Sus scrofa: one gene and its partner. The protein of the gene in region 1 interacts with the protein of each later gene in a biochemical or structural test. Links are inferred from orthologs where the notes say so. Each region holds a gene or a part of one and is shown in the gene's direction. Other genes may lie near its edges.

Region 1 (3,675 bases):
CATCGAACTGAGCAGCTTTTTGTCTAGCTGTCCTTTTTGTCTTTCCCTCCCTGCCCATCCCATTGTCCAGGTCACAGAATAGGGAGCAGCACAAACCAGGCCCTGAGATTTGGGTTTATTCAGCTCCACCCTAAACTAAACGAAAAAACGCTATGACACGTCCCAAGGGACCAAACCATACATTGTGGACCATGCACTTCACCCTTCCCCCAAGGATGCTGCTACCTCTAGGGTGGTGGGCAGCTGCTCCGTATCACCGTGGGGGCGGGGGCTAGCAAGGGGTTCAACTGGGTGCTGGGTCTGTGACATTCAGGGCTCAACGCCGGCTGCCTCCTCCTCTTCCTCTGGATCAGGAGGTGCAGGGAGCAGGGAGATGTAGACCTCATTGACCTCTGTGTCCAAATGTCGGCCACCCCGAGGCGCCTCCAGGTTGAGGATGCCGTCATGGGAGAGCGCGGCGCGGACGCGCCAGGGGTCCACATCCGCAGGCAGGACGTAGGTGCGGCAGAATTCTCGGGACACGAAGCCGTGGCGGTCCAGGCGCTGGGGGTGCCGGGCAGACACCTCCAGCAGGTTGTCCACAGTCCTCACGGTCACCTCATCTGGGGTGAAGTGGCTCACATCCAGAAAGGCCTGGAACTTGCCCTCACTAAGCCGAAGCTCCGAGGCCCCCGCCCTGCTGCCCTCCGCCGCTTGGGCTGCCCGTGGCCGGACGTAGTAGCCGTGGTAGAGGGTGGGGGTCAGGATCTCTTCTGGCAGGAGGCCTGGGGGGCAGAGGGGGAGAAGGAGAGAGGCGGGATGAGGGACGAGGGGTGGGAAGGAGGTGAACTCTGGGGAGATCGGGGGTGAGGCCCGGGGAGCGAGGAGGGGAGAGTCGGAAGAAGCAGGGGAGGGAGGGATGACAGGGACTGGACAGAGGGGACTGAGAAGGGAAATGGGGGCGGGGAGCAAACCTAACGCGATCTGGGGGGTCGGAGGGGAAGCCCCCACGCCCAGGCAGACGCGGCAGGTGTCAGCACCGCGGGCACAGCCCGCACCAAGGTAGGCAGGAAGGGGAGGGAGCCGAGCTTAGAAGGGGTGGGGTGGGGGGGTCTGGGGTGGGAGACGGCTCGCCCCAGGAGTTCACTTAAGCCTGGAGTGGGGTGGAGGCCAGGATCTTTGGGAGGTCAGCCCAGAATTTCAGGAGGTGGGGGTGGGAGGCAAGGGGGTGGTGTCCGGGCCGTACCTTCCCCGAAGCGCTGCTCACCCAGGCGGCTCGGGTTGGCAAACTCGTACTCAGTGGTGGCCGGGTGGGCATGTGGCACCGAGCGGCCCGACATGGCTGCAGATGCGGCGGCGGCTCAGGTCCGAGGTGCGGCCCCAACAGTCGCAGCGGGACCCCTCCAGCTGCCGCCGTAGGGCCAGGGTGCGTTCGGAGTGGGGGCGGGGTCTACACCACCCAAAATAGTGCCGAGCCTGGGGGGAGGGGCGAGGAGCGCCCGCGACGGCTGTGTGACCCGCGCCGCCTGGACCCCCGTCCCCTCCCTAGCACACTCTTCAGCTGTCACATCCCCGCCCCCTCCCTCCCCCCTCCCCCGGGACAGCTGGGGGTCCTGGCCGCGGAGCGAGCTGGGCAGGGGAGGCTGGTGCGGAGGTCCGGGAAAGGCCTCGCTGAGACCCTCGCGAAAAAGGGTGTACATTTCCACACCCTCCTTCTCCTCCTCACTTGCAGGCAGCAGGCACCCTACTCCATAAAACTCCCCTGGATTTAAGGTTCTGCCAGCCACGTAAAGCGAAAGATGCAAACAACTTTCTGCCCTTTCTTTGGGGGGTGCGGTGAGGGGCCTTTTGGTCTTGACATATCAGGGGCCTCTCTGAACCGGGGGCAACCCAGAGCACCACACGGAAACCTGCCATTGACATGCTGGTGATCACTGCTCTCCTCCAGGGCCCCACAAAGAGTTAATGTCCCTGGGGCCCAGCCTAGGAAGATTCCAGTTCCTGCCCAGGCCCAAGATAGTTGTTGGCCCCATTCCCTTGGCATGCTGGACTGGAGAGGAGGAGGGGCCCGCTGCCCGCCTGCTTGGGATTCCTGACTGGGTCCCAACTCCAGGGAAGGGGATGGGGGAAGGGTGCCATTGGGTGTGGACAGAAAGCTAGTGAAACAAGACCAGGACAAGCCACTGGCCAGCTCAGACGTGTCTGTATTTCTCTTTTCTTAGCTCAGTGAGTACTGGGTATGTGTCACACTGCCAAATCCCCGATCACAAGTCTCCATGAACGGGTGGTGAGCTGGGATAATAAAACCCCTGACATCACCATTCCAGAAGCTTCACAAGACTGCGTATATAAGGGGCTGGCTGGAGCTGCAGCTGAAGGAGCTGACCGGCCAGCTGACCCTCTACATCCACCCAGCCGCCATGGACATTGCCATCCACCACCCCTGGATCCGCCGCCCCTTCTTTCCTTTCCACTCTCCCAGCCGCCTCTTTGACCAGTTCTTTGGAGAACACCTGTTGGAGTCTGATCTCTTCCCAGCTTCTACTTCCCTGAGCCCCTTCTACTTTCGGCCGCCCTCGTTCCTGCGGGCACCCAGCTGGATTGACACTGGGCTCTCAGAGGTAAGTATCCCCTCTGCCCCGACAGGAGAGTGCATTCTGGAGCCTCCTGGAAGCGTCCCCATCCACTTTCCTCTTCCTCCCAGCCTAAATGTGGCTGTGTCTAAGGGTCTCAAGGGTTTTAGGCACTTGTGTGTCCTGCAGTGGAGAAAGATGGGGTTCCTAGTTCCTCCCCTCCCCCCCACGCAGGCACCTGTTTGGATTTGACGCCCCTGTGTATTCCACTTCTTATATTTTCCCCGTGTGCTACAAAGGTCATTCTCTATCCTCTTCTTCTAAGTAGGGTGTCCCTTTCCAGTTTGGTTCATAATGATCTACAGTGCAAGGGCTGCCTTCAGACTCCTGCTCACCTCTTCTAACACCTCACACTCCTCACAAATACTATCATTTCAAGTTTCAGAGCCAGGAGACAGTCCTACCTCATCCCTGCTGCGTGCAGCTGGAGACAGCAACCACTATTGTCTTCCACTCCCTCTTCTGTGATTTTCCAGGTTTCTCAAGGCTGTGACAGGGCACTGGCCTGGGTCCGAGGCTCACGAGGAAAGAATATAGGTCCAGTTTTCTGACCCCCCAACTTGTCCTAGGAGTGTGGGAAAATGAGGGGAACAGATAAGGTTGACAGAAGCTGTCACAGATAACACTCTGGTTTAAAATTTTTCAAGTGTAAATAAACAGGAGCTGAGTGGACAAGGGCTTTGGAAGGACAATCAGAGCCAGCAGAACATTCCAGATTGAGTGGGTGGGAAACTTGGCAGAGACCTGAGCAAGAAGAAGCAGCCTTTGTACCACAGACAAATGACAAGGCCAGGCATTGGGTCAGAGAAGCAGCAGAAGCCATGCCCAGACCCATCCTTGCGATTTATCCCCTGAGTGGCCTTTTTCCCTGTAAATAAAGTTTGGGCCTGATGACCAAGTGGTGTGCCCCCTGAACCAGAGAACCATGTTTATTCAAAAAAGGATTTTTAGCTTAAAAGGGGAGGACCAACTACCCGAGCAGAAAGCAAGTCTGCAGAATGATGAGGCTGTATTAGTGTAATCCCCATTCTTACCACTTTTTCTGCTACCCCTGCCCCACCTT
Region 2 (3,750 bases), on another chromosome or scaffold:
AGCCAAAAAAAACCCCCAAACTCAGAAGATTTATTGGCTCCAAATTTTTAAAAAATTTTTTTAGATTTTTATTGTTTTTAAATTTTATGGCCACACCATGTCATGTGGAAGTTCCCAGGCCAGGGATTGAATCCAAGCCACATCTATGGCAATGCTGGATCCTTTTAACCCACTGCAACAGGCTGGGGATCAATCTTGAACCTCTGTAGCAACCAGAACCACTTCAGTCAGATTCCTAACCCAGTGTGCCACAGCAGGAACACCAACTCCAAATTTTTGAAAGACAACTGCAACGTTAAAGAGTCAATATTTAATAATATAGCTACAGAGAGAGATTCATGTCTACCAGCTGACCATAACTGAGTTCAACTCTTAAACAGTTATACATAAAAATATGGCAATTATAAAGATTACCAAAAATAGTGAATGAATTTTTTTTCTTTCTTTCTTTTTTTTTTTTTTTTTTGGCTTTTTAGGGCTGCACCCACTGCATATGGAAGGTCTCAGGCTAGAGGTCCAATCAGAGCTGGATTGCCGGCCTACACCACAGCCATAGCATTGAGGAATCTGAGCTGCATCTTCAACCTACACCACAGATCACGGCAACACCAGATCCTTAACCCACTGAGCGAGGCCAGGGATTGAACCCGCATCCTCATGGATACTAGTCGGATTCTTTTCCACTGCACCACGACAGCAACTCCCGATTTATTTTTCTTAATAGAGCTCGGAATTGTAATAACCCTTCATATTTTTAGTTTTATTTATTTATTTATATTTGCTTTTTAGGGCCGCACTCATGGCAAATGGAGGTTCCCAGGCTAGGGGTCGAATCAGAGCTACAGCTGCCAGCCTACAGCAACAACCACAGCAACACCAGATCCAACCTGCATCCGCAACCTACACCACAGCTCACGGCAACGCCAGATCCTTAACCCACTGAGGGAGGCCAGGGATCGAACCCCCAACCTCATGGTTCCTAGTTGGATTCGTTTCTGCGGTACCACGACCGGAATTCTGAATCTTTCATATTTTTAAACAACAGCAACACATGTATATCCTGTATGAGAAGTGACGTGCATTTTGCTGTGTTGGATATGACATGGAATCTTAGGAAGGTCCTGGGGTGGTGTGAGGAATCTGGAAAGGCCAGGGGGCAAGTACTCTTGCAGAGACCTGTCCTCACCTCCCAGCTCCTCTGAGAGCAAGTCTGCAGCAGGCAAGGCCTGCATGGCCAGCCTCGCCCACAGCAGTGGGGCCTCTCTGGATTTCTGTATCCCACATTTAAACAAAGCCCTGAGGGATGCCTGTCCAGCAGGCTGAGCCACCAAAGCTCTGGGATCAGGTGAAACAAAAGCAGAGGGAAAGCAGAGTGCTGACAGAGCCAGAGGCCATCAGCCACAGAGCTATAAAAAGCAGAGCCGTAGAGGAAGTGGCACCAGATGGAGACCCAGACTTTGCAGCAGGAGCTGGGTGAGTAAGGCCCTGAGGGGTGCTCTGGTCCTTCTTTCCTTCCCTTGCAGAGGCATGCCCAGAAGGGGGCCCCGTTTTCCTGCCCTGTAGTCACGGCTTCTTAGGATAGCTGGAGAAGACTGGGGAACTCTGGGGGAGGCAGGCTTCTCTTGCCACCCCAAAAGGAGTTACTTACAGGACAATGACCACTGCCCTAGCCATCATAGCTGGGAGGGGACATGGAGCCTCAAGAAATGACCAGCTCCTGGGGCATAGGGAGAAGTGGGGGTGAGCAAGAGCTAGGAAACGCTTATTTGGAGGTTCAGGATGGAAAGATCTGTCAGAGTTTACATGCATCAGTCTCTGGGCCAATACCAGCCAGAGCCAAAGGCCATGAATGGCTGTTGAGAAAACTGATGTACACCTGCCTGTCTTCTTTCTGCCCTGCCTCCCGCCCCCCTTCCCCCTGTTCTTCCTTCCTTTACCTTTCCTATCATCTTTTCTGTCTACCTCACCCCTCTGAGCCTCAGTACCCTCATCTGTAAAATGAAGGTAATGACAGTACTTACCTAATAGGCTCATTGGGAAGATTAAATGTATGAATGCATATAAAGCATATAGAACAGGGCCTGGAAGAGAGTGAGCCATCGTTCAGTGGTAGCTATTGCTGTCATCCTCTTTTCTTCCTCACTTTCCATCAATAGGTCTTTTTCAGTGCCACCCATTCCCCTTCTCAAGCCCTCACCACTGCGACATGTGCTCAGCAACCACTCAGGAGATCCCGGCCCTGCCTTTGAGATGTTCACCCAGGACATATTCAATAGGAACACAGATCAGTACTGTGATGAGTGCTGAAAGTAGGAAAGAAAGCAAGCCGCCATAGGCGGGGAAGGCAGCAAAGGTTCAGGAGGCAAGACCAAGGCTGGTTAGGTCTAGAAGAGAAGTAGGGTGGGAATGTAGCATGACCACGCACAGCCGGTCAATTTGAGGGCTTTGAGGAGCCAGGTGAGAGTGAGACCATGCACTGGCAATATGAGGGGTCAGATGGTCACCAAGGAGTTTCTATTGGGGTACGTGAGACTGAGGCAATGCTGCCACCTGTAGTGGGTGCCTGGAGGCAGGCAAGAGGCTGAGAACTGCATTTATCAAGTGGTCATCATGCCTGTGCAATGCCTTCGCTGCGTTATTGCTACTAATCCTTGTAATAACTCTGCGGGTAGAAGCTTTAACAATGGAAAACAACTGAGGCTCAGCTAGTGACAGGCAGGGCCAGGATCCCAACCAAAGTCTATTTATTGGACTTCAAGCCTCTTTTACTTTCTCCTGTGCTCCTCATCCCCCACCCCAGAGGCCATGTCATTGGTGTGTTTTCTGTCTTCCAGAATCCCTTCCAACCACCAAGATGGCTCAAACTAACCCCATGCCGGGGTCTGTGGGGCCATGGAAGGTAAGCCCATCCCCATCACATGGAAAATCAAGGAATCCATCAGGGCAGGGGGTGTGAGTACTATCAGAGGGTAGGCTCCAGAGCTGTGCTTTTCCATGCAACAGTGGCTGACCAATACAACACCAGTTTTTGTAGGGTAAGGTTCCAAGAAAGTCCAGAGGCTGTCTCAGGAAGGATCTCTCAGGATGCCCCATTTGGATGGAAGAAGGATGATCCTGGAAGCCCATGATGGGTGGGAGATGATATCTAGTTTTCTAGGTCAGCTCTCCTCCACACTGCTAAAATCGTTTTAAAATAAAATAAAGCAGCCCAAATGGCTTATGACAAGGAGAACCTGAGGGCCTCCAAATGAGGAGAGATTGGCCACCAGTTCCCAAATAAATGACTGGACCCTGGTCTCCTGACTCCCAAATGAGGTTGGTTGTAACCATTGCCTGAAGTGGCTGAGCCTCAGCCACTGTTTCCTCCAACACCCTTACCCTCTTCACTGGATCAACTCTGAGTCCAGTTCACAGCTTTGGGAGATGTCCTCTAGCCAGGTTGAAGAGTCAAGTTCTAGTTCAAGGTATGAAAGGAGTTTATCGCAACTCTCCTTTTACACTTTAGGTTTCTGTAGGGAGTATGGCTGGAGAAGCTAATAAATACTCCACAGGGAGCTGCTGGGTCTCCCAGAATCCTCGCCTCTGGGCCACACTTAGGCAGGAAGCATAGTGGAGCAGTTCACAAGTCCTTGGTATGCCCACTGCGCAAGCTAACATTCCTGAGGGACCACTCCTATCATAAACCAATCCCCACACCTCATCCCTAGACTGGGCACCTGAGTACCACTGAACAGTGGTATTAGTTCAAAA

Evidence for each region.
Region 2: the proteins of CRYAB (region 1) and CRYBA1 form a complex in vitro, tested with the Homo sapiens proteins (2 studies listed by BioGRID and IntAct, with this or other methods). The link is inferred for Sus scrofa from reciprocal best matches to the Homo sapiens genes CRYAB and CRYBA1.

The regions. Positions count from the first base shown.
Region 1 is NC_010451.4:39,640,529-39,644,203, reverse strand, and holds the start of CRYAB (alpha-crystallin B chain), read left to right. Parts: upstream 1-764; 5' UTR 765-1,041; intron 1,042-1,225; coding exon of another isoform or gene 1,226-1,319; exon of another isoform or gene 1,320-1,455; intron 1,456-2,201; 5' UTR 2,202-2,216; exon of another isoform or gene 2,217-2,306; 5' UTR 2,307-2,399; coding exon 2,400-2,600; exon of another isoform or gene 2,601-3,130; coding exon of another isoform or gene 3,131-3,177; exon of another isoform or gene 3,178-3,675. Other genes in the region: HSPB2 (heat shock protein beta-2), read right to left, coding at 310-764, 1,226-1,319. UniProt on the Homo sapiens protein: May contribute to the transparency and refractive index of the lens. Has chaperone-like activity, preventing aggregation of various proteins under a wide range of stress conditions.
Region 2 is NC_010454.4:45,465,088-45,468,837, forward strand, and holds the start of CRYBA1 (beta-crystallin A3), read left to right. Parts: upstream 1-963; 5' UTR 964-2,854; coding exon 2,855-2,899; intron 2,900-3,750. UniProt on the Homo sapiens protein: Crystallins are the dominant structural components of the vertebrate eye lens.